3 linked regions of the Astyanax mexicanus genome follow. The protein of the gene in region 2 purifies or fractionates together with the protein of the main gene of each other region. This does not show direct contact. Links are inferred from orthologs where the notes say so. Each region holds a gene or a part of one and is shown on either strand. Other genes may lie near its edges.

The links. The genes of interacting proteins can lie anywhere in the genome.
Region 1: the proteins of nup107 (region 2) and nup37 purify together in Homo sapiens (affinity purification with mass spectrometry; 7 studies listed by BioGRID and IntAct, with this or other methods). This does not show direct contact. The link is inferred for Astyanax mexicanus from reciprocal best matches to the Homo sapiens genes NUP107 and NUP37.
Region 3: the proteins of nup107 (region 2) and seh1l purify together in Homo sapiens (affinity purification with mass spectrometry; 5 studies listed by BioGRID and IntAct, with this or other methods). This does not show direct contact. The link is inferred for Astyanax mexicanus from reciprocal best matches to the Homo sapiens genes NUP107 and SEH1L.

What each region holds. Positions count from the first base shown.
Region 1 is NC_064409.1:2,712,642-2,721,121, reverse strand, and holds the start of nup37 (nucleoporin Nup37), read right to left. Parts: upstream 3,904-8,480; 5' UTR 3,711-3,903; exon of another isoform or gene 3,568-3,710; intron 3,421-3,567; exon of another isoform or gene 3,205-3,420; intron 2,110-3,204; exon of another isoform or gene 2,107-2,109; 5' UTR 2,061-2,106; coding exon 1,905-2,060; intron 1,802-1,904; coding exon 1,677-1,801; intron 641-1,676; coding exon 568-640; intron 1-567. Other genes in the region: PCNA-interacting partner, read left to right, coding at 6,193-6,342, 7,823-8,056, 8,178-8,291. UniProt on the Homo sapiens protein: Component of the Nup107-160 subcomplex of the nuclear pore complex (NPC). The Nup107-160 subcomplex is required for the assembly of a functional NPC.
Region 2 is NC_064409.1:23,502,165-23,510,240, forward strand, and holds the start of nup107 (nuclear pore complex protein Nup107), read right to left. Parts: upstream 3,853-8,076; 5' UTR 3,757-3,852; coding exon 3,749-3,756; intron 1,180-3,748; coding exon 1,091-1,179; intron 144-1,090; coding exon 48-143; intron 1-47. UniProt on the Homo sapiens protein: Plays a role in the nuclear pore complex (NPC) assembly and/or maintenance. Required for the assembly of peripheral proteins into the NPC. May anchor NUP62 to the NPC. Involved in nephrogenesis.
Region 3 is NC_064410.1:33,193,810-33,202,352, reverse strand, and holds the start of seh1l (nucleoporin SEH1), read right to left. Parts: upstream 3,904-8,543; 5' UTR 3,713-3,903; coding exon 3,602-3,712; intron 2,194-3,601; coding exon 2,143-2,193; intron 2,011-2,142; coding exon 1,864-2,010; intron 918-1,863; coding exon 706-917; intron 462-705; coding exon 363-461; intron 6-362; coding exon 1-5. Other genes in the region: ptpn2b (tyrosine-protein phosphatase non-receptor type 2), read left to right, coding at 5,430-5,486. UniProt on the Homo sapiens protein: Component of the Nup107-160 subcomplex of the nuclear pore complex (NPC). The Nup107-160 subcomplex is required for the assembly of a functional NPC.

The DNA.
Region 1 (8,480 bases), about 21 Mb from region 2:
AAAGACAAAGATAAAACACAGAGAACTCTGTAACTATAAAGAGTAGACGTTCTTTTCTTCAGAGAAATTACAGCTAAAGCCAGAGAGCGATGAGTACTGTTTCCTACACCTTCAAAAGGAAACGCTTGGAAACTGGAGAAAACAGTTAGACTGCTACAGGAAGACGTCTGGCTGACCCACATGGAAACAGCAGCTTTAGCCTTTAACTCAGATTAACATTGGACTTAGTCTCAGTTTCACACTTTATGAATTTATTTTTATTTATATATATATATATACACACATAATGACTAAAACAAGTTTTTTTTGTTTGTTTGTTGCTTTGGGAAACACTTTTAAATCACTTTTGTTGGGGCCATCATGATAAAGCCTTTTGTTACAAAATAAAAATGTAAAAAATATATATGTATTTTTTTCTCTCCAAAAATATAATACATGCCATAGAGGGTTATTTAAAAAATAAAAATAAAAACCCAGAAACAAATCACTTGTTTTAAATCACATTGGCTTTGTATTGGTGTAGTTTTGCATATGTGCATCTATGTGCTTAAAGAATGGATAAATTACCTTTACTTCATGCCGGTTCTGAAGATCTGAAGTAAACAGCCTTAACTTTCGGTCACCTGCAGCAGTGCAAAATCTGGAACATTAACAGCAAATGTGCCGCCGGATTGATTATCAGCATTATTTAATGAATCAGATGCATCCAGGCTAATGAAAAGAAATCTCATCATGCAGCCAGAAAACGAGACCGAAACCCTAAACACACATATATATATATAAGGTTGAGTAGATGAAACATGAAATTTATCTTGGGTTCATACTGTCTGGAATCAGATAAAGTCACAAATAACAGTACGTAAACTTAGACAGTAATAAATATTGTTAAATGGTTCATTAATGTCTCAATACATTATTAACAGACACTAGTTAAGACAATACCATTAAACATCAATACATTTTAACGCTTAAAAATGTTAACACTTAATAATTATTAGTTGTAAATGCACCTTTATTGTAAAGTGTTTGACACACTGCATTGCAAAATATTTTACTTACTGTCTCAACTTTTTTTCTGATTTTGTGCTGTACTTAATAAAGCAACAGACATTATTTAATGTGTATTTAAGCAGTTCGCATTCTTGCACTAAACTGTACATTTACACAGTGCATTGCAGAGGTGGGCGATATGGTCCTAAAATAATATCACGATATTTTATGATATTTTCGAGGTAACGATATGAAAAAAAAAAAACTGAATTAAAAAAATACTTTAAGAATACAATACTGTAACAAAATGAAAATTACATTTTATGATTGCATCCAATATGATATGGCACACCTCTAACTGAGATATAAAAAATTACAAGCCTTTTATCAGATTTGTAACAGATCCAGTCATTGATCCATAATGTCATGATACTAATAATAATAATGCACTCCAGATATCTCCAGATATCCAGGATTAAAGTAAAATAAATGATACTGGACAGATATAATCTGTCTCTAGTAGATATATAGTGGGAAATTAGAACAGTGTGAATTTTTCTTTTGCTAAAAACAGTCTAAAAGTAGTACCAGTACCCTCATGTGATAATTAGGGATGGGTAATATGGCACGATATTTCAGGATTCACGATATTTAAAAATGTGTGACATATTATTGCCATTATATACCTGATAATCTGGGGTATTTTATCCAACCTCGTCTCTGGACTCCATGCAAGAGCATCCACACGAACCCCGTGCACAAAGGCACGTAAAGTGTTAAATTCTACTCCTTCTACCTCCACATCTTCCTCCTGCAAAGACAAACAGTCTTTCATTTACTTAAACTTTACAGAATGTAAAATTTCCTGTGTGTGAAAAAAAAAAAAAACTCCATACATTAAACACTGCTCTTACCTTAAAGCGACAGGTGCCCACCACTACATACTGATTCCCCCCGTACGCCAGGAGAGAAGCTGCAGAGCCGCAGTCGTACGGGCTGAACTCCACCACGTGGACGTAGTCTTCACAGGGTACGGTGTAGGTAGATGAGCGACTCGGATCCTCCTGCATTCTGATTCTGCATCAACTGTAGCTCTCCTGTTGGTCTTTAGTTTAACTACTGGAGGAAAAATAACAAAAGCACAAATATAGAAACAAGTTAGCCATCAGACTCAGTATTTTAGATTAAAAATACTGTACAATATTGAGTAGCGACTAAATATTTACACCTAACTCTGAGCAGCAGAAGAAAGTTATAACTAAAACTAAATGAAAACCAATATGTGTGTATATAGGTTCTTTGGAGCTTCTAGCAGGAGGAAACAACATTAATAACATTAATAAAATAGCAGTACAACTAGGGGTGGGCAAGATTATATCGTATACAATATATCGTGACACAGAAATATCATGATATTAAAAATCCATATCGTGATAATAGGGATGGTTTGTCTTAAAAGTAGTCCATTATTTACTGTGAAGCTTTAGGTGTATTTATTGTATAATTGTTTTAGTTTATAGTTTTTGTTTGCAGTTTATATGCATGAAAATATACTGCAATATTTTTTGCTGCATTATATTATTTTATGCTATATCATTTATTTTGCCACATCATGATTATACTGTTATACTATTATACTATATTCCTGAAATTAATTAATTATTTTTCTGTTTTCCTATACAGCCAAGTATATTGTTATCGCAAAAATACCCTGAAATATCGTGATATTATTTTAGAGCCATATCGCCCACCCCTAAGTACAACCCATATACACTATAAACTTTACATTATGCCATATATTACCCAATAAAACATGCTGTTAAGGCTGTGATAACTACTTAAATATTTTTCCATACATTGTAAACACATCTATGCTGGTTGACAACCTTATTTTCTTGGCAACAATCTGTGACAATCTGTAACTAACTCTGCACATGCATTAATACGTTTTTACTAGTTAACCCTTTCAGATCTGAGTTATATTCCAGTGATGAAAAAAAATATATAAAACATCATTGGCTGGTTCATGCTCTATTCCAATAGAATAGAACAGTTCAAAAAATAAATAAATAAAAGAATAGTAATAATAATACGTGATGTCCACTATAATAGACAAAGGGTTTGAAAGGGTTAAGAAGGTTAAGGGTTAAAAAAGATTTGTTTAACATTAACAAATGTAAGTGATATGTATCTGTATGTAATGTGAATTGATACCTGTATATATAAAAAAAACTTAAATTAGAGAGACGAGAGACTCGTAGCTTTATAAAGGGTTATAAATGGATGAGTTAGCAGCTCATATGTGGAGCATCTTTTGCTGGAGTGGAGAGTAAACAGCTGCTCTGAAGTTCATGTTCAGGTCCAGGAGGTGAAAAAAGGACAGGTGGTTTGCTTTTGCTGTTTTTTTTTTTTGCAGCTATAGCTGCACCAAGAGATGTGAGGGTTCTAAAGAGAAGAGAGAGACGTACGTAGTGCATGCATAAAGGATTAATATACAACATACGGGTTTATGTTGCAGACAGATTTAAAAAAAAATAGTAACTAACGTAACTAAAGACTCAGTAAAACTTTACTCACAAACTTAAGAAGAAACGTACGCAAAAATCGGTGTAACCCAGCCCAGTTTAGCTAACCTAACTAGCTAATTACTCAGACTCACTCTCAGCATTAGCATTAGCTATAGTGACACACTGGTACTGATAGATAGCTTAGCAACTTACTCAGTTTAAGGCGGAGAGCATTAACTGTAGGCAGTGAGAAAGACTGAGCCGAAAATTATAGTTATATTAAACACATATTAATCCCACAGAGCCCTGTTTACTGACTGAATTAATAATAATCCCAGAGTTATTAAACCCAACGCGCCCTCCACCACGTTCAAACCGGTTCACTGTTTACATCCGGGTCCTGCAACTCTTTCCCCGCCTAGAACAGGAGTCTGCGCAGACTGCGCGCTTTCACTGATCTACAAATTATACCACAGTACATCCAGTACAGCAGATGATCTGTAGATCAAACAAACCCCTCAAATAGCGCCTGCATGGTTTCCACTACAGGATTTATAATCTAGCTAAATTATGGTCTTTTTTTCTGTATGCGATTTTCACTTCATATATATATATATATATATATATATATATATATATATACATACTAGTGCATGTAAAAAAATAGAATATAATTTAAAACTTACTTTATTTCAGTACACACAGAGTGATCTATTGTATGTGTTTATTTCTTTTATTGTTGCTTTCAGCCAATGAAAACCCAAAAAATCAGTGTCTCAGAAAATTAGAATATTATATAAGACCAATTGGCACTTTTGGCAGTGTGGGCAGTGTGCCAAGTCCTGCTGGAAAATGAAATCCGCTTCTTGGGAAGCATGAATTGTGGTAAAAGTTTCTGGGAGAACACTACACTAACTTTGGACTTAATATAACACCGTGGAGTAAATTTTACATTTCTTTTGAAAATCTTCTTTTGGGACCAGAGTCTGGAGGAGGAGTGCAGAGACACACAGTCCAAACCGAATTTGTCAGTGATGTTTGATTTTATATTAAGTTTTTTACAGGGTGATACTAAGCACATTAAAATTAAAAACACATATAATATCAAAGTGTTATCTTACTTTACACCACAATGGATCTTAATTGAAATGAGCAATTTGAGGGAATTGTCGTTTTATAAAAAAAAAAACAAATAATAATAATCTTCCAAATATTAAAGTGGATCATTAACGTAGGATTAAATCGACATTTGTGAAAAATATAAATGCATAGCATTGTACAATAAAATAAAATGAAGAAAGCATTCCTAGACACGGAACACCAAATATGCGAGGACTATAAACATGAGCGGACTACAGGATGATGCATCACTGCAGGCGCTACTCAGTAGCGCGCTCTCTGAAAAGGGGGCGCGGCTACAACGGGTACTTGAATCTGATTGGCTGACGTGCGTGTTCCTGTGGATTTAAATTTTAAGACGGGTTTGGGGACAGTAACACAGCACAGCTGCTACAGTTCAGAGGAACAGGATAAAGTTTTAACTAACGCTCTCTAAACACAGTATTAACCTCTCTCTGAAAGAACACGTGCGGTAAGTTTTATTGCAGATTAGCTGATCTAGATTATAGCTTTGTGTGATCTGTTAAAGTAACGTTAATAAGGTGACTGTTTATGTATTTATGTGATTTTATCCAGAGAACTACACTCTAAGAAACTGTGCCTCTACCTTATATTGAGGTACAATAAAGTAACGTTACCTTTCAGTGAAACGCTTTCTTTGTACCTATGTGTTTTGTACCTGTAAAGATTATAATCACTTTAGTTTCTGAATCAGTTCCTCTGATTTTGCTATTTATAGGTTTATGTTTGAGTAAAATTAACATTGTTGTTTTATTCTATAAACTATAGACATTTCTCCCAAATTTTCCCCCAAAAATTTATTTATTTGCAGTAAATGAGAAATAACAAAATTCAGAGCTTTCAGATCTCAAACAATGCAAAGAAAACAAGTTCATATTCATAAAGTTTTAAGAGTTTAGAAATATCAACAATATTTGGTGGAATAGCCCTGGTTTGTAATCAGTTTTTTTATGCATTTTGGCACCATGTTCTTCTCCACCAGTCTTGCACACTGCTTTTGGATAACTTCAACCTATTCCAGCGGTTTTCAATTTGATAAAATCAAAGAAACTCATAATTTTTAAGTGGTCTGAAACCCTCTCTAATATAATCAAGAGGAAGATGGATGATCACAAGCCATCAAACCACCAAACTGAACTGCTTGAATTTTTGCACCAGGAGTAAAGCAGCATAAAGTTATCCAAAAGCAGTGTGTAAGACTGGTGGAGGAGAACATGATGCCAAGATGCATGAAAATTGTAATTAAAAAACAGGATTATTCCACCAAATATTGATTTCTGAACTCTTCAAACTTTATAAATATGAACTTGTTTTATTTGCATTATTTGAGGTCTGAAAGCTCTGCATGTTTTTTGTTATTTCAGTCATTTCTCATTTTCTGCAAATAAATGCTCTAAATGACAATATATTTATTTGTAATTTGGGAGAAATGTTGTCTGTAGTTTATAGAATAAAACAACATTGTTAATTTTACTCAAGCATAAACCTATACTTTTCAATATTAAAGAATTGAAGGCCTGTAATGAACTTATGTAATGTCACATTTTTAAAGATCATGGGGAGCGTCGAGTTGAGCCTGAAAACAGTGGTCCGAGTTTTCAGAAGAGAGTGCCACCGGGTTCTAGACTCTGAGAGAACCATCATACATGGAGCAGACAGCATGCTGATGGTTCTACAGCTTTCTGCTGCTGAAGTCTGCAAACAGGTAATGTCTATTGTCTACAAAAACTGTGCATAAAGATTTATATACTTATTTAAATACAATATATTAAGAGTGATTTGATTGTCTCTAGCAGAATTGAGCTCTTATTAAAGATTAAAGGAGAAGTCTGGTGTAAAATAGACTTTGTTTGTAGTGAATAATGATGACATGTACAGTTGTTTTTTAGGCAAATACTCCACCTTCATTCACCCCCAGAATTCCCAAATACAGAGCTTTTAGCCGATGCTCCCAACAGACTTACAATGCTAGTGATGGGGGCATAGTTACCCATGCTTTGGGTATACATTGGAAACCTGCAGTGATTTTGTTTTATTTTTCTTTCTTTATTTGTTAATAAAAAAAGAAACAAACTGTGAGTATACTGTCTCATGCCAAAAACATAAAGCTAAGGAGTTTATTTTATTTTTGGGTATTAAGTATAATCATTATTATTGTGATCAGATGTTTGTGCCCTCAGATAACCTTTTACATCGATCCCACCATCATCATTAGGGAGGATGGATTGTGTTTTAGGCACAAGAATTTGTGTTGCAACCGGCCAATGTTACATTTCAGAGATTGAGGGGAAAAAATTGCATTTCATTTAAATGAACGTCTATTAAATGCATCTTAACCCTAAACTGAATGTGAACGATTCTCTGTAGAAGCTAACACTACACTCAATCCTAACCTCAACTGTGAATCAGCACTAAAACCTAAACCTAAACTTTAAAAAATGTTAAGATTAGAGTTAGGTGTTGAGTTACATTCAATAGAGAATCATTTACTTTTACAGAGTTCAGTTGCATTTAATAGAGATTCAGTTGAATGTTATTTGAGCATCTATGTATGATTTGGAATCATTGAGCCTTGTGTATTTTTATGTTCAATTTTTTTTTTTTTCCATTTTGGAGAATTTGAAAGGTTTTTTTTTTGGTCATTTTTTTCTGATGTGAATAACTATATACAACTCTGGGAAAACAAATGAGAGAGCACTTCAGTTTCTCCGATTTTGCTATTTTATAGGTTTATGTTTGAGAAAATAAATTCTCCAAAATTCCAAATAAAAATATTGTAATTTAGAGCATTTATTTGCAGAAAATGAGAAATGGCTCAAATAAGAAAAGTTTTCATGCATCTTGACATCATGTTCTCCTCCACCAGTCTTACACACTGCTTTTGGATAACTTTATGCTGCTTTACTCCTGGTGCAAAACATTCAAGCAGTTTAGTTTGGTGGTGTGATGGTTTGTGATCATCCATCTTCCTCTTGATTATATTCCAGAGGTTTTTAATTTGGTAAAATCAAAAACTCATCTTTGATGATATATTTTCTCTTAAACTAAAGGAAGAGAGATCCTGTAGATAAATGGGAAGGTTTTTTTCTTCTTCTTCTTCTTCCAGTGCAACTAAACTGTAAAGTTTTCCATTGCTTGGCCTGTAGTGTTCTTGCGTGTGATGCTTGTCTCTGCTTTTGCTCTAGGAAAGAGGAGACTTCGGTGTGGCTTTGAGCGACGTGCTGGTGGCTTGGAAATGCTTGCTTCTGGACAAGCTCCACCTGTCCCATGACGGCTCCCCTGCTTCAGAGAATTATGACCTCATCCGTAAAGAGTACGACAGCTTTCTGAAGCGCACCAACACGGTAGATCTGATCGACGTGTGTAATGCGTACAAGCAGTTGAGGCGAGATGAAGACCCAGAGGATCCTCTCACCGCAGTGAGTGCTGAGAGCAGTGTGTGGCGTCAGCCCGGCTCCCCCGAGGACGGGTTCTGGCATTCGTCTCCGCAGAGCATCATTTAACAAAGTCTCTTATTCCTGGTATTGTTTTCACACCTAGATGCAGCTGTTTGAGTTTCTGCATGGAAACGCAGAGGCCTCGGAAGAAGCTGAGCTGATGATCTCTCAGTGTCCCACCACCCCATCAAACCGAGCTCGCCACTGCCGCCCACAGGTAGGCTTTAGTATAGGATGGAGCAGATGAAGTGGAAAATGTAGAGTAATGGGATTTAGTGCTACAGACTAGCAGCTCTCCAGCCCAGAGGGTTGTTGAACCCAATTGCAGAACAGTTGATCTCAAAGCAGGTAAACCCAAGAAGAAAGGGAAAAAAATAAATAAATAAACAAACACACCTCTCCTCAT
Region 2 (8,076 bases):
AGGAAAGTGTTGATATGTAGGAGGAGTGAAAGAGAGAGTGATCTTACAGGACTGTTTAAAGAGTGACCCGGGAGTGTGGGTCAGCAGTGCTCGAGCTGGAGTGGCCATGGAGGCTGAAGGTGATCCATCCTGAGCAAGTGGGACTGAACACACGGTTAAGAAACAAACAATGCACTGGAACTGTATAATATGGAGTAATATATAAATATACCATATAAACACTAGAGGTATGTGTTTCTGAAGAGGACAGAATACTTCTTTAAAAAAATAATTATAATTATGGATCTTTTAGTTTTACAGAATTAATTATCCAATATTCTTCATCACAGGTCAACCCTATTCATTAGTTTAGCACCAACATGTGGAGCAATGAAGCAGTTACTTTAGTAAAGCAAATTTGAGTATAAAGCAAAAACAAAAATGACGAGGCTATGAAGATGAGACTCGATATTGGGTTCAAAATATATGTGTGAAACATATGATAGATAGATAGATAGATACTTTATTTATGCCGAAGGAAATGTAGGCATCCAGCTGCAACAGCACAATACAATAAGAAACATGTTAAACATAAATTAAAACACAGAAGAATAGAAAACACAAAGCTATAAAAAACTTATTATACAACGTAAAGATCTACCTGTTAACCGAGCAGTGCAATAGATGTTGCTAACGGTCATTAAATAATTAACAGAGCAAAGTGCAAGGTGCAATGACATTGATTATAAAAGTGACCGATGTGCCATAAAAATATAAATATAAATATAAATATGCATATCTTACAAATAGGTCTGTGAATATGTGAATACCCAATCATGAGTAACTGTACTTGAAAGTAAGTGAGGTTGGGGAAGTGATGGTGTAAAGAATTGAAACACACAAAGCAAACTTAAAGTCTTGCAAGACACATTTAACACCTGATGAGAAATATTGAGACGAGGGTTCATGGCAGAGGTTTGACTGCATGAGCTCTGGAGGATAAGAGATTTATACAAAATCTAACCAAGTGGAAAAATAAAGCAAGTGGTCACTTCAGCTGCAGGCTCTGCAATCTGAGCAGCCAAAGTCCAGTAAATTTAGGTAAGGATACAGGCCACCTTTTTGTGTGAGCTTTTCCTGCGTGCGGCTCGAGTCACCTCCGAGTCTCGAACAACAGGAGAGTTCAACCAGTTCTGGCTCCTACAAGAAAACAACAGGGAAAATACATAAGCATTTGGATCTGCAAATTATTATCGAATATATTACTAATATAATGCATATGGTGGCAACATCAATATTACACTGAACTGTACAGATTTTAAGATCTAAAAAGCATCTCAAAAGCAAAAAATGGATCAAATCATAACTCTCTTGACCAGTTCACATGATCTTAACACCCTGATTTAAGGAAACAGGTCCTAGCACTCCCAAGCTGCCAAAAATATTTTTACTTACAGGGTCTATGTATTGGCAAACAAAACTTCTCTATTTTTGATGAATGCTATTTCCAGTATGCTCTACAGTAACAGTGTTCAAATTTGAATATGCACAATCCTCACTGCTGTCCATATAAATGACTTTGCAGCCTTATATAAAATCTGTTGCAAGGTCTGTTCAATTTTATGTAAGGTTGTACCAAAGTGAACATTTTTGGATAAAACCAAACCAAAACAAACAATACCAAAATTATCAATTGGTCAAAGAACAAATAAATAAATAAAACATTTATTCACAGGTTTTAATTAATTAATTAAATTGTCTGAATATATTTTGTCCTAAATTTACAACTTAAAAATATTTATTAAAATTTTACACTCAGAAAAAAATATTCAGGCTTATTCAGCTGAACACCTAAAGAGTTTTGTATTTTGCCATTTTTGGCTAAAATATTCATTTTAAATCCAAAACCAAAATGTCAAATGTCAATTACAGAACAAATTAAATACATAAAAAAGTGTGATACAGGCTTTTAATTAAAAGTCAAAAGCAATAACAAACCTAAAATTTACGAATATGTATGAACACTGTTGTAGAAAAGAAAATGAAAGGTGGGTCAACACCTCCCTCTCGACCGGGGTACAACTCCCCTGCGTGTTCGTTTGATAGAGAGAGTCAGACAGGTGGAGTGAAGTTGAAAGCAAACCAAGTATTTATTACAAAGTACTGAATATTCAGGAGAACCCACACATGAAAGACCGTCTAACAGCCGTCCCAGCATAAGTTCTGACCCCCCTCTGATCTGACTCCATGTTTTATACCCCAAATGACGTGAAACCTGCTGATGAGGCGTTGCTAACGATTAGCTCATGTTAATATGCATAATTTCACGTGTTAGTACTCAAGTTTCACAGGTCTGACCGGACCACTAGTGTTTGGCCTTGACTGTGTTCTTCCAGAATGGAACATCGTGGCACTATCTGTGTGAGTGTGCGTCACCCCCCTCTTTGAAGCCGCTGCAGGTTCCCCCACACACAGAAGGCCGCTTTGATCTAAAAGCCTCCTCTGTAGAAATGTAGTCTCTTACCGAGTGTACCAGTCGAGTTGATGACCGTTAGTTAGGGTCATGCAGTGAACGAAATGCTTCAAGCATGAGCTACGCAATAGTCACACAATAGATTTCATATGTTATATGTTAATGTGTTAGTAACGCGTGGTTAGTCCGCCATATAATAAATCCTATGTGTTAGTAAATGCCTTATGTATCATGTGGGTTAATTTGTCATATAATAGAGTCTGTGTTAGTCACATGCCTGATCAAACAATGTTTTACTATATATGTAAAGAATATATTGTGATTATTGGTTAATCTTCTATATAATTGCGTGTAAAATACACTGTGAGTAAAAATGATCAAATGTAAGGTGAGTATTGGTTAATGCATATAAAATACAAGGTTTCACACAATGATTATGTAATTATAGATACTAAGATAAGTAATCATAACTGAAAGATATTTGTCAATACACCCAAAGTATAATAAACAGTTACTCTTCAACACTTAAGCACTTAACATTTTTAACATCCCAGCAGATATGTCCACAATGCACAACAAAAACACTGAAAGTGTTTCTGTTTTGTGTCATTTTTGGCCAAATTAGCCATTTAATTTCCCCAACATCAGGTGAATCCCTACATGTTTCTGTTTGTATATCAAACGAGAATCAGGTATAGGCCCTTTAACTTGCATATAATAATAGAATGAGGAGTCACTTATTCCACTTAACTAATAACGTTACATCTATTCTGATCCTCTCGCTGTAAAGATTTAACATTAATAAAGTCACAGAATATTAAATTAGTTATACACCAAACTCTACTCAATCACTATATATGAAACAATTATTTACAATCAGTGGAATATAAGTTATAGAAAACTCAACTTTAATCTAAACTATCTGTAACTGACAGCTTCTTCTATAAAGCTGAAATTACTGCTCTGTGCTGTAGTTCTGTAGTGCTACAGATTTTAGGTGGATACAGACCCCTTCACAGCACAGCTGCAGTACAGGAGTAAAACATGCAGACTGATAAATAAGTAAACAAATAAACAGTGATGATTAGTCTGAGCTCAGACCCACAGTACAGTACAGTCAATTAGGCTAGTTAGCTTAGCACTGCATGCTAATCGCTAACAGTTAAGTTAACTTGGTACTGGTGCAGAAGCTCAGCCTGTACAGTGGTTGTAATCTAAGTTTGAGAGGCGAAATATTAATAAATCTGATTAATAATAATATCAGCGCTGTTAATCACTGATTATTGATTCATTTACCAATCCATGCTGAGCTCGTGCCGCGGGATTTGCGCCTTCTCTGTTTCTTCCTCTCCTTCACCGCTTTTACTCCAACCTGCTCCCGCTCTCTGCTGCCCCCAGCGGCCCCCAGCTCAACCCCACTGAAAACCTATGGAATGTAATCAAGAGGAAGATGGATGGATGATCACAAACCATCAACCCAAGCTGAACTGCTGGAATTTTTGAGCCATTTTTGAGTGGCATAAAGCATAAAGTCGCCCAAAGGCAGTGTGAAAGACTTGTGGCGAGAATGCCAACACACATTAAAGCTGTAATTATGGTTATTCTACAAATTATTGATTCTGAACTTTTCCTTAGATAAAACTTTAGCATTGTTACTGTTTCTAAATAAATATGAACTTCTGTAAGGTTTGAAAGATCTGCGTCTTTTTCGTTATTTTAACCATTTCCCATTTTCTGCAAATAAATTACAATATTTTTATTTGGAATTTGGAAGAAATGTCATCAATAGTTTATATAATAAAACCACAATGTTCATTTTATTCAAACATAAACCTGTAGAAAACAAAATCAGAAAAACTGATTACTTTGAAGTGGTCTCTTAATTTTTTTTTTTCCAGAGCGCTCTCTCTCTCTCTCTCTCTCTCTCTCTATACACACACACACATAGTGGTGTCAATCGATTAAAAAAAATCCGATTAATCACAACAAAATTCTGTAATTAACTTATATGAGAGAGTATATGAGAGAGAGAGAACTCTAACCAGGTCTGAGCTGGAAGTCTGAACCGGAGTGTTACTGCTGGACACCGTATGACTGTTCAGTCGTTCAGCCAGAAAACAGATCAGTGTGCTGGGCAGGGGCGGGGCAGATTATGGCGGAAGTAGGAGTCGAACTTGGCGCCTTAATTAACTTGCGTTAAAAAACGCGTTATTGATTACAAATTAACAGCGTGCGTTAACGTTGACACCCCTAATATATATATATATATATATATATATATATATATATATATTTTTGCGGCCCGTTTCCTTTTATGGAGCGGCCCGCGAGGTGTTTTAGAAATAGAATGAAAGTTGGCCCGCTGTTAAGCAGGTTTTTATAATGTGAGAACCTAAGTTTGAACGCTAGGTGTCAGAAACGGGCCAAAGAGTCTAAAAGCAGAGAGAGTGAAGTTTTAGCGCAGAAAAACAGGGCAAAGAGTCTAAAAGTGGAGAGGGTGCGCGTTTCTAGCGCAGAAAAACGGGGCAAAAGAGTCTAAAAGCGGAAAGAGTGTGCATTTCAAGCACAGAAAAACGGGGCAAAAGAGTCTAAAAGCGGAGAGAGTGCGCATTTTTAGCGCAGAAAAAACAGGCCAAAGAGTCTAAAAGCGGAGAGGGTGCGCATTTCTAGCGCAGAAAAACGGGGCAAAGAGTCTAAAAGCGGAGAGGGTGCGCATTTCTGGCGCAGAAAAATGGGGCAAAGAGTCTAAAAGCGGAGAGAGTGCGCATTTCTAGCGCAGAAAAAACAGTCCAAAGAGTCTAAAAGTGGAGAGAGTGCGCATTTCTAGCGCAGAAAAATGGGGCAAAGAGTCTAAAAGCGGAGAGAGTGCAAATTTCAAGCGCAGAAAAACGGGGCCAAAGAGTCTAAAAGCGGAGAGGGTGCGCATTTCTAGCGCAGAAAACCAGGCCAAAGAGTCTAAAAGTTGCCGTAATTAAGGAGTTTAATTTTAAGAGAAATCAAGAAATTAAACATCAATTTAAAAAATCTTAGTTTACACAACACTGTCAAATATAAAGATAGTAAGTCAAGTAAAATGGTGTGTAAATGAAATAATCAGGAAAAAAGTATTATTTAAAGTGGTATATTTCATTATTTGTTTTATTACGGAGTGTGGCAAGTGACTTCAAATATATTTCTCCTTCTGGCCCCCAACAAAAAAAGTTTGAACACCCCTGAGTTAGGATGTTGAATGATCACCACCCTACCTAATCCCCAACTCCTTAACTTATCCCATCTATTAGTATTAGATGGAGCTCCATCATTCCAGAGAACACAGTTCCACTGCTCCACAGATCAATACTAGGGGCTTTATACCCTCTAGCCCACACCTGATATTAGGCATTAAACTTGATCAAATAACTTATGTTAATGTTGTCTAATCTAAACATTTTTATAATGTTTTTTGTTACCTGGGGACCCTCTAACCCTGTGAACAGAAGCTGATCTTGAACTGGATTTGTGAGAATAGTAGGATTTACCACATAGTTGGATCCAGGATCAGTGTGTGGATCAAACTCATTCAGATTTAGTTCACAAACAGCACAATGCCAGCTCACCAGGGCACCCAGACACACAACTGTTCTATATAACACTGCTATTCAGAAATGAGAGCCTCTCACTGGAATTTAACAGAGTGCTCAGACACAAGAGGGCGCTCAGGTATGAGATTTAGGCCTCTGTGCTGGTGGAGCTGTTGAATGAATTAGTAATGTGTAAATATTTCCCTAAGCTTCTGTGCATTTTAATACATAATTACTGTTCATGTGCTGAATTTAACCTATTAGAATCTTTGCACATGCCAGATTTTACAGTATTTCATATTTTAATCATTTGTTCAATTCAACAAATAAACAGTAATTGTGTATTGAAATGCACAGAAGTGTGTCACCGTAGAGGATTTGTTCAGTTATTATATCATCAATACAACAGTGTGTACTTTGTGCACACCATATGGACAAACGTATTGGGACATTTTATATCTGGATGTGGGAATATTGCATACTAATGTTCCCAGAATATTATCTGAACCTTATTTACAATGATAGTTTAACATCCTAGGAACATTCTTAGTCAGAACATTCAAAATTACATTCTTAAAAAGTTCCATTTTGGTTGTGGGAATGTTGCATGTCATTGTACTTGCAACAGATTAATGTCCAGTATTCTTAATGTTCCCAGAATGTCTTTCTAAAGTTATTTTACCCCAACCTTACTTGCAATGGCAATTTATTGTCCTAGAAATGCTGTATTGTACTAGGAATGTTGTACCTCAGAATGTTTTCAAAACATTTTAAATTACATTCTCAGAATGTTCCTCCAACATTCCACTTTGTTTGTGGGACTGCTCCATGTTAATGTAATCTAAACTACAATTAGCTTAGCTTTGTAGAATGTTACCTCGTAACATTCCCAAAATGTTTTTCCAAAGTTATGAGAACGTTCCCAGAAAGTCACCTCAACGTGTCATTTACAATGACAATCTATTGTTCAAGGAATTGGATTATACTTGGACATTTTCAGACCATTTCTGAGAACATTCTGAGAACATTTAAAGACATTTCCAGAATATTCTCCTAATGTTCCATTTTGGTTGTGGGAAGGTTGCTACTTTTTTTCCTAATAAGAACGTCTTTCCAAAATTATGAAAATGTTCACTAACCTTCACAACTGAATGTTTAAGGAATGTTCTAAAAAACTTTCTGAGAACATTTAAAATAATATTTTCATGCCATTGTGAATGTCTTTTCTTGGATACTTTTGCCAGGGTTTAAGCACTGCATTCCAGGAACACCCCACAAGACCTGCTTGATGTTCTGGAAATGTTCTGACCCAGGCATTGTCTAGAACTTTAAAGTTTAGTTTTTGTTAAAGTGTCTCAGATTCTTACGCTTGTCCATTTTTCCTGCTTTAACACATCCACTTTAAGAACAAACTGTTCCCGCCTAATATATACAGTGGGTACGGAAAGTATTCAGACCCCTTTAAAATTTTCACTCTTTGTTTCTTTGCAGCCATTTTACTTTATTTTCATTAATGTACACTCAGCACCCCACCTTGATAGAAAGAAATTTAGACATTTTTGCAAATTTATTAAAAAAGAAAATCTGAAATATTACATGGTCATAAGTATTCAGACCCTTTGCTCAAGATTGAGTAAAGGCACCCTTTTGAGCTAGAACAGCCATGAGACTTTTCGGGAATGATCTAACAAGTTTTTAACACCTGGATTTGGGGATCCTCTGCCATTCATCCTTGCAGATCTTCTCAAGTTTTTACAATTTCAGGTCTCTGTCTCTCCAGAGATGCTCAATTGGGTTTAGGTCATCAAGAATGGTCACAGAGCTGTTCCGAAGCCACTCCTTTGTTATTTAAGGTGTGTGCTTAGGGTCATTGTCTTGTTGGAAGGTGAACCTTCGGCCCAGAGGACTCTGGAAGATGTTTTCCTTGTACTTGGCTGCCTTCATCTGCAACCAGTTATCCTGTACATGTAGCTGAAAAACACCTTCATAGCATAATACTGCCACCACCATGTTTCGCTGTTGGGGTTCTATTGGGCAGGTGAGGAGTAGTGCCTGGTTTTCTCC
Region 3 (8,543 bases), on a different chromosome or scaffold from region 2:
ACTTCCTGTTGGAGAAAAAACAACCCCAAAAAGTACAAAACCCCTTTTAAATGCTACTTATAATATGACCTCGCCAAATTCTTAGGTTTTGTTCAATAGATATGTAAGCTCTGCTAAAGGCAAATACATTAATAATCCTGACCTGATATAGACTCAGTCTGTCAGAAAACAAGACACATCTGACCACAGTTGGAGAGCACAGTAAACACTGGCTATATAAGTAAAACTATATGGCAAGCACATTTAACGTATTAATTACTTCTAAATTAACTAATTAAAAAAACTCAACATAAGTATCATCAGAAACTTGGACAGAATGGCAGATATCAAAAACAAACAGAAAACAGGAAGCGTGAATTTACCTGGTATTTTCATTGTATTCATAGATCTGTACTTTTCCACTGTAGGTCACATTGTTGTCATCACTACCCACAGCGATCATAGGAGGATGAGCACGGGAGCTGAATGACAGAACACACACAAGCTTTGATTTAAAAAATGAAATACAGAATATTTATCTCCTGCTAATTACATAGTTTTCCAAACTACTGTAAATAATATTGTCAGAATGTTTGAAAAACGTTTTTTTCGGCTGATTATCAAGCCGAAGCCGAGTTACATCTGCAACAAACTGTAAAACACATGCAAATACTGGATCAACCCCTTGGTTTACCATGGTAACACACAAAATACATAAACACACACCTGGAGGGGTTCCAGGAGATGCAGGAGCAGGAGAGCTTGCAGGATATCTCGTGCTGCAGACTCCACTGACTAAGGTTCATCACGTCTGGAGCTTCATAAATGCGCACCACTCCATCTGCAGAGCAAGTGGCCAGCACCAGGCCCATGTGCTTTGGTGCAAACTTCACATCTGTTACTGAAGTCCTGCTGTCCACCAAAGTTGTTCTCTTGATCTGCATGATGAGATTCTAATCAGTACTGATTACGGACATGAAATCAATATTTCAATACTAAAACCAGCAAATGGCATTCATCACAGACCGCTGTATTTTACTACTGGTGACAAATCTCAAACATCACAGAGAGCTCTACTGTACAATTTTTTTTTTTTTTTTTTTAATATAATTTTATTTCAAATTTTTCCCCATTTTCTCCCCAATTTACATGGCCAATTTCCCAACCCACTCATTAGGACTCCCCCTATCACTAGTAATGTCCCAACACACCAGGAGGGTGAAGACTAACACATGCCTCCTCCGATACATGTGAAGTCAGCCACCGCTTCTTTTCGAGCTGCTGCTGATGCAGCATTGCCGAGCAGCCAGCTCGGCAATACATCAGCTCACAGACGCCCTGTGCTGCAGACATCACCGTAGGAATGATGTGGGGAGAGAGCGCCATCTACCCACCCAGAAGGAGCAGGGCCAGGGCCAATTGTGCTCCCTCTAAGCGCCGACAGCTTAATGGCAAAGCTGCATGAGCGGGGTTTCGAACCGGCGACCTCCCGGTCATAGTGGCAGCGCTTTAGACCGCTGGACCACTCAGCACCCCAATTTCGTATTTATACTTGTAAAGCATTGCAGAAGAAGTTTACACACCTTATCTCTATTCACAGCTTTAAAAACATGGGAGAAGGCTGGACGGTTCTTTACACTATGAGGTTAATGTATCTAAGAAAAAAAATGGAAGCTTAGATCCTAATATACAGCATCATACCCAAATCATTAGAAATGTACTTCAAACCATGTGTAGTTGTTGGAAAGGAATCTCCAGCAGACCTGCTTATTTGTTTTATGACACTGTACTACAAATGTTACTGTAATGTGAACACCAGTGCAGACACAATTCAGGCTCCAAAATGACTGCTACTATAAATGAGTAAATTATTAGATGTGTTACCCAGTGACTAAGTCCTCGCTGTTTGTCGTTGGATTCGCCGACTATTTCTTCCCACACTGCTGCGGTGCGGTCAAAAGAGCAGGACGCCAGCACCTGTCCGAACTCTGGGTGAGCCCACGTCACTCTCCACACTGAGCCACTGTGGGTCTGAAAAGAAACCAACAGAAACCAAACCCAATGTTACTGTTAAAGCATAACTTGTGCATAATTTAATACCCAATCTGTAGGTTTGTGTACTTTTTTAGATATGAACAAAAGGTAGTAAAATTAAAAACTTGCCTTCCAACTGGCTGTGCAATGCCATTCTCCATCGTCACTTTTGTCCCAAACCTTCAAGCAAGACAAACATTTCTGTTAATCATATTTTAAAAGATCTTACTCGATTTTACAGTAATATTTATCTTTACAAATCTACTGAAATATGCTTCAGAAACCCATAAACTAACAGGTTTCAAGTAATGAAGTACAAATACTTTGTTGCCTTACTTATGCAGAAATTTCTAATCTATACATTACTGGAGTAATTATTTTTTAAACAACTTTTTACTTCTACTCCTTCCATTTTTAAAATAGCCTCATTATTCATATTTAATTTCAGCTTGTTTTTCCCTCTGGCTTCTCATCATTAAAAAAAACCCTATCCTTATAACTCTCTCCATCTAGTGTGAAGATGATCTGTATATAAAATAAATAAATAAACAAACTTGACCAAACTGTCCTACCTAAGCTACTTGAAAATATTCAAAATGCACTTAAATGCAACTATTTTAATGGGCATATATGCGTATCTCAAGATTTTTAACTTTAACATTTCAATATAACATTATAGTAGGGGTGGGCGATATGGCTCTAAAAAAATATCACAATATTTCATGGTATTTTCACGATAGTGATACTTTTGGCGATATGACAAAACACTAAATTAGAAAAAATATTTAGCTGCATGCAATATGATATGGCTAACTAAGATAAAAATATATATATATATATATTATTTTATCAGATTTATAACAGAAGTAAATGATCCAGAATGTCATGATACTAATAATGCACTCCAAATATTCAGGATTAAAGTAAAATAAATTATACTGGACAGATCTAATCTGTCTCTAGTAGCTATATAATACGAAATGAGAACAGTGTGAATTTTTCTTTTGCTAAAAACAGCACAAAAAGGAGCACCCTAATGTGATAATTAGGGGTGGGTGATATGTCACGATATTTCAGGGCAAAATGTTTGGCGATATTATCACGTACGATACGATATGGCACACCCCTACATTATAGTCATTATGGCTTTTACAAAAATGTGTTTTGGGGAGCAGGGAGTAGTTAACTATAGGCTGCTATAACACAACCTATACTTTTGTCCTTAATGGCATTTCCCCCCTTACATTACTTTTATACTTTAAGTAGTTTTAAAAGCATTACTTTTACACTTGAGTTAAAACTTCTAACTGTTACAGAAGTACTTTAAACCCCAGTATCTATACTTCTACCTTAGAAATGAATGTGAAGACTCTTGTCACCTTTTTGTTTAACAAAAAACATTGTGAGAACGAATATAGCTATTCATTTTTAGAAACGATGAATTTCGCTCTTCTCTGTTCTGCTTTTAGCATTAACAACATACATTCTGAGGTACCTATATGCTCTGTAAAATTTGGCTGCATTCCATACATATGGTAAGTTAAAAGGGGGGTGAATATAGGTGAATAAAGTGAAGGGGTGTGTTTACCTTCACGCTCTGGTCGCTGGAGCAGGTCGCCATCCTCCTGCCGTGGAAATCATAGGAAACATCGTGGATCAGATCTTTGTGATCTGCAGCGATGCTTCGCGCCACAAACATGCTCCTCTACTCTCCGTTCCTGATCGCTGTGAAAACACTGAATCCCTGTTCGCTCTCAGAAACAGAGTAAATACAGAACACCGCTTTAAACTTTTTAATGTTTCTGCTCACTTCTGGCGGGTCGCTCAGCAATGCGCCATTTTACCGCTCACTGCTGTTTCCTGCCAGTCAGAGACTCAGCAGCGCCGCTCTCAGAGCAGTAGGACTGGAGGAGCAACAGCAGCCCGACAGCGCCTCGGTCTGAACTCCACAATCTAGACTCTAATATTACAATAATTGTCATAGTAGAATATCCAAAGGTGGAGCTTTTAATCAATGCTTTATTGATTTAACGTATAAAAAAACACCACACATCTTTATATGCTACCATAAAGAAATTCAACTCCCTAAAATCAATGAAATCTAAAATTGCTAAAGATCCTTACAATTTACATAAAGATAACCACACTAATGAAGTGAACTAATTATTTTTATTGCCAGTTTGTTATTGCCTGTTTTCAATAATGCTTTATAAATATTATAATTTATAATTCATTCTGTTATGTTATTGTTATGTTTTGTATATTAATTGAGTAAATGTGTTGTTTCATAATACATTGCTGTCTTACAATTTGGTAATTCCCTACAGTTTTGTAGATCAGAAGTCTTCCAATAAAAAAAAATAGATTACTCTATTTCGATACTTTTCCTAGTTTATGTTTTTGTTTCACAACATTTTGGACTTTCATTTATACTTTTACTTTTTGTTTCATGTACATTTCATTTTATGTGCAGGTTGTACTAGTTACATTACATTGAACTGTATTTTTACTTTAACATTTATTTTAAGTGTAAGATTATTATTAACGAGTATTTTGTCGTTATTTTTACAGTTTCATTTGTAAAATGTATGTTTATTTTTATATCACTTTCCAACTTAGATTCTTTTGGAAATGTTTAGGCGCCACCCGCTGGACTGGGGTGATTTTACACAAAGCGAAAAGTGGCGCAGTAATATTTAAAAGATTGGTTTCTGGACTCTGTAAATAACTTTCATATTGAGTTTACTTTAAGCATATAGAAAAAAAATATGTTTTAATCAGTTGTTTTTATTATTAGTTCATATACAGTACATATTTTTATTTAATCCCCTTACTATTTTAAATAATTTATTTTATTTGTAATGGTTATTAAAAGAGCAAAAACACTAAAATGAAAAAAATTTCAATGTTTAAATTTGTTTTGTGCCTGCTTTGTGCTTCTAGTTAACTTTTTACACATAATTTGATTCGTAACAAACGGCTGTAGTGCATATTTTGGCTAACATATTTTGGGAGCGGTATAAGCTAAAAGGTATTTTCTTGTCAAAATAAATATATTTTAAAAATACACATTTTAATATTTCTATTGCAGTTTCAGATAGTTGGAGTTTGGTGTCTAAATAATTCTACGTATTTTTTCTTTTTTTGGAGTTGTACTTTTATTTTCTGTTTTGCTCGCTGGTCTGCGCAAATGGAGCGCCGATTTGCTGCGCAATTCAGTCAGCTAGATGTCAAACACGGGAAACCCGGACCGAGAGAGAGAGTGGAGTGTGTGAGTGAGTGTGTGCGTGTGTGTTTTTATTTTATTTATTTTTTTTATGTTCGTGGCTTAATGTCGGCGGTAGAAATGACTGATCCTTTATGATAGGGCTGTTTATTTTCTATTATACCGGACTAGAGTCTGAATAAACAGAGAAATGGACCACGAGTTTCAGGACATCGATTCAGAAGGCCGGTGGCATAACCTCTACATGGTAAATATTTTTTCGAGCATTAAAATTCTGTTTATTAACCAACCTTATAGCTGAGTTTAATATTAAACTAGCAAATTATACACATGCGTGACTCTACTCTACTAGCAGTACTTTCTCAAATAGTCAGCTGTACTGAGCTAACCTAGGTAAGTTAAGTTACTGAACAGTGAGATATTTAACTTAGTTTAGTTAAGCTTAATGTCAGTGTAAAACTAAATGTAAGGGTTTTTGTTGATTCTGCTACTTTCTTACTCTCAACTTCCACATCTTCATTATCAGCTGTGTACTAGCTGAATGTGTTTTTTACGCGTGTCATTCCAGTGTACCGCAATTAAGGCTGACTAAATAAAATAAAAAACTTGATGACTGGGATAGGGTAGGGGGTAGGTAATATAGATGCTGAGAATCGGCATAATAACAAATTGCAGCCATCAAAGTGCATGCTCTCTATTACAAACTACGTTTATAAGAAGACTAAGATGATTGACAGGGCACTGTTTATTTAAAACTTTAACTAGGTTAGCTATTAACTATTAAAACTGTTTAGTGTAAACTCTGCATTAACCAGACATATCAGTACATAACAAACTAAATTCTGATATGTGTTAGCTAACGTTAGCCTAGCTAGCTAAATAGTAAAAAATCGCTTTAAGCTTTAGTAGGTTACACAATGTTTAGTTTTATTGAATGTATCCATGTTTGAGATGTAGGTTAATTCCTGTTTTTAGAGAAAGAAAGAGAAAAGCGGGACACTGTATTTTACACATCTAACCTGGTTAACCTAGGTTAGCTTAGCTATCTCTAGCTAGCTAGGTTCACCTAACGTTAACTTTAACGCTAGCTAGGTTCTACTTGTAATTTACTCACACTGGTAGCAGAGGATCCTCAGTGAACCTTAATATAATGAGCAATACTGGCTAGCAAGCTAAATATTTGGTACTGCACGGTTTGCCTGCTGACACAGTATAATATTAATTTATGAAAAAGCGTTTCCCCTCTGCCTTTTTGAACTCCTTCAATGTTGTCTAGCTAACGCTAACATCTCGAAAACCATAGTGAACGGTGTGGATTTTACCATTACAGTCGCATGAAATACCACTGGAAATGCACTAACCCAAATTAGTTCCCTTTGTAAACACCTGCAACGTAACCTAAATATGTGCCTCATAGCTAACTTTGCTAACTTAGCTAGCGTTAGCTTAGCTAGTTCCCAAATCTCTCAAGGAGTGAAACTGACTAAACTAAGCTAAGCTAGCGCCTTTAGCCTACCCCCAACAGCAGCCGCCACACAAACTTTAAGGCAAGAACATGTCCAATGATACCGCCAGTTGATTTAGTGTTCAGTGTCATTAATCCTGAATTCATGCTGACTGGTACTTTTGCTACCTGGCTACGCTAAGCTAAAACTATGTTCATGGAGTGTATGTAGCGCTAGTGTAAAGTGAATTAGCTAAGCTAAGCTAAGATAGCTAACGCTAGAAGATACATCTCTGAAAAAAATACGAGACCACTTCAGCTTCTGTATCAGTTTCTCTGACTTTGCAATTTATAGGTATATGTTTGTAGTTTATAGAATAAAACAATGTTTATTTTACTCAGACAACAATTCGTGCCAAATTTCTAATAAAAATATTGTCATTTAGAGCAGTTATTTGCAGAAACTGCTCTGCTCTGAAACGCAGTTAAATAAACGTGGATAACTTGTTCATAACCAACACCTTCCTAATATTTAAAGTGCAAGATGATTTATAGTGTAATGTTAATAAGACAACAGGGCAAATTGTAGTCAGAAAGAAAATATAATGTTTCATAGGGCTGTGTAATACTGTTTTACAAAACTAGGAGATGATTTGCTGAATTGTTCTCTGTGAAACTAATACAAGTTACAGAATTTCATTACAGCATAAGGTGCAACACCTGTCATTCTCTTAAGGCTCTAATCAAAATAATATTTCAGTGTTTTCAGTATCCATCTGCAGTGGACAGTCAGCCAGTTTTATGTTTTTAATTTGTGATCTATGGCCACAGGTGTATTAAAATTATTAATATTATATAATATTTTTTAACAGTAAATATGGATAAATGTGTTTTTTCTAATAAATTGTATCAGCTTTACTTGATGGTTTCTGTTTTAGGTGCAGTGTCTTCTATACTGTAACTGTACTGGCATGAGAAAATGACATTAAAGGACTAGTTCAGCAAAAAAATCAAATAAAAATGAATGATCACTGACACCCAATACTCAAGTTTATAAACATAAAAATAAACTTTTCTACAGAGATGAATGGTGGCGTATCCAGAAATACTTTTACTTTAGTAGGGCTGGCCCGAATAGCGTTTTTTGAGCTCCGGATATTCGGCACTGATTCGAAGCGAATATTCGAATATTCGTTTTTAAAATAAGAGGTAAAAAAAAAAAAAAAAAAGGAAATCACGGCCCCTTTAATCCACTGAAAAATTTTCAATTTGCTCTGACCGACAAGACATATTCACCCCGGATTTTGGGTGTTTTTATCCCGGATTTTTGTGTTTTCACCCCAGATTTCTTTGTGTTTTCATCCCGGAATTTCTGCTGCCCTACACCGCGGCTTATCCGCTGCGTAAGCAGGCTAGGAGGCTGCTGCTGCATGGTTTCTCCGCTGCGCAAGCCAGCCCAGTAAATTGCTGTTTGTGTTTTCACACTTAGGCTATTTGCTTAAAAAAACAAACAAAAAAAACGTTTGTTCAGGAAGTATTTTATATTCTTAAACATTGTTAATTATATTAGAGGACAGTCATTGTAAACTGTACTTGGTCTATTTCGGTTAAAGGATTGTGCAGGGCATATTACTGATTTTGTATTTTTGCACTTGGGCTATAAGCTCAATATTAAATATTTCGTTTGTTTAGAAATTATTTTATATTTTTAAACCATGTTAAATTATATTAGAGTAGAGGAAAGTCATTGTTAATGACGTTATTGTACTTGGTCTATTTCGGTTTAAGCATTGTGCAGGGCATAGCCGTATTACTGATTTTGTATTTTTGCACTTGGGCTATAAGCTCAATATTAAATAT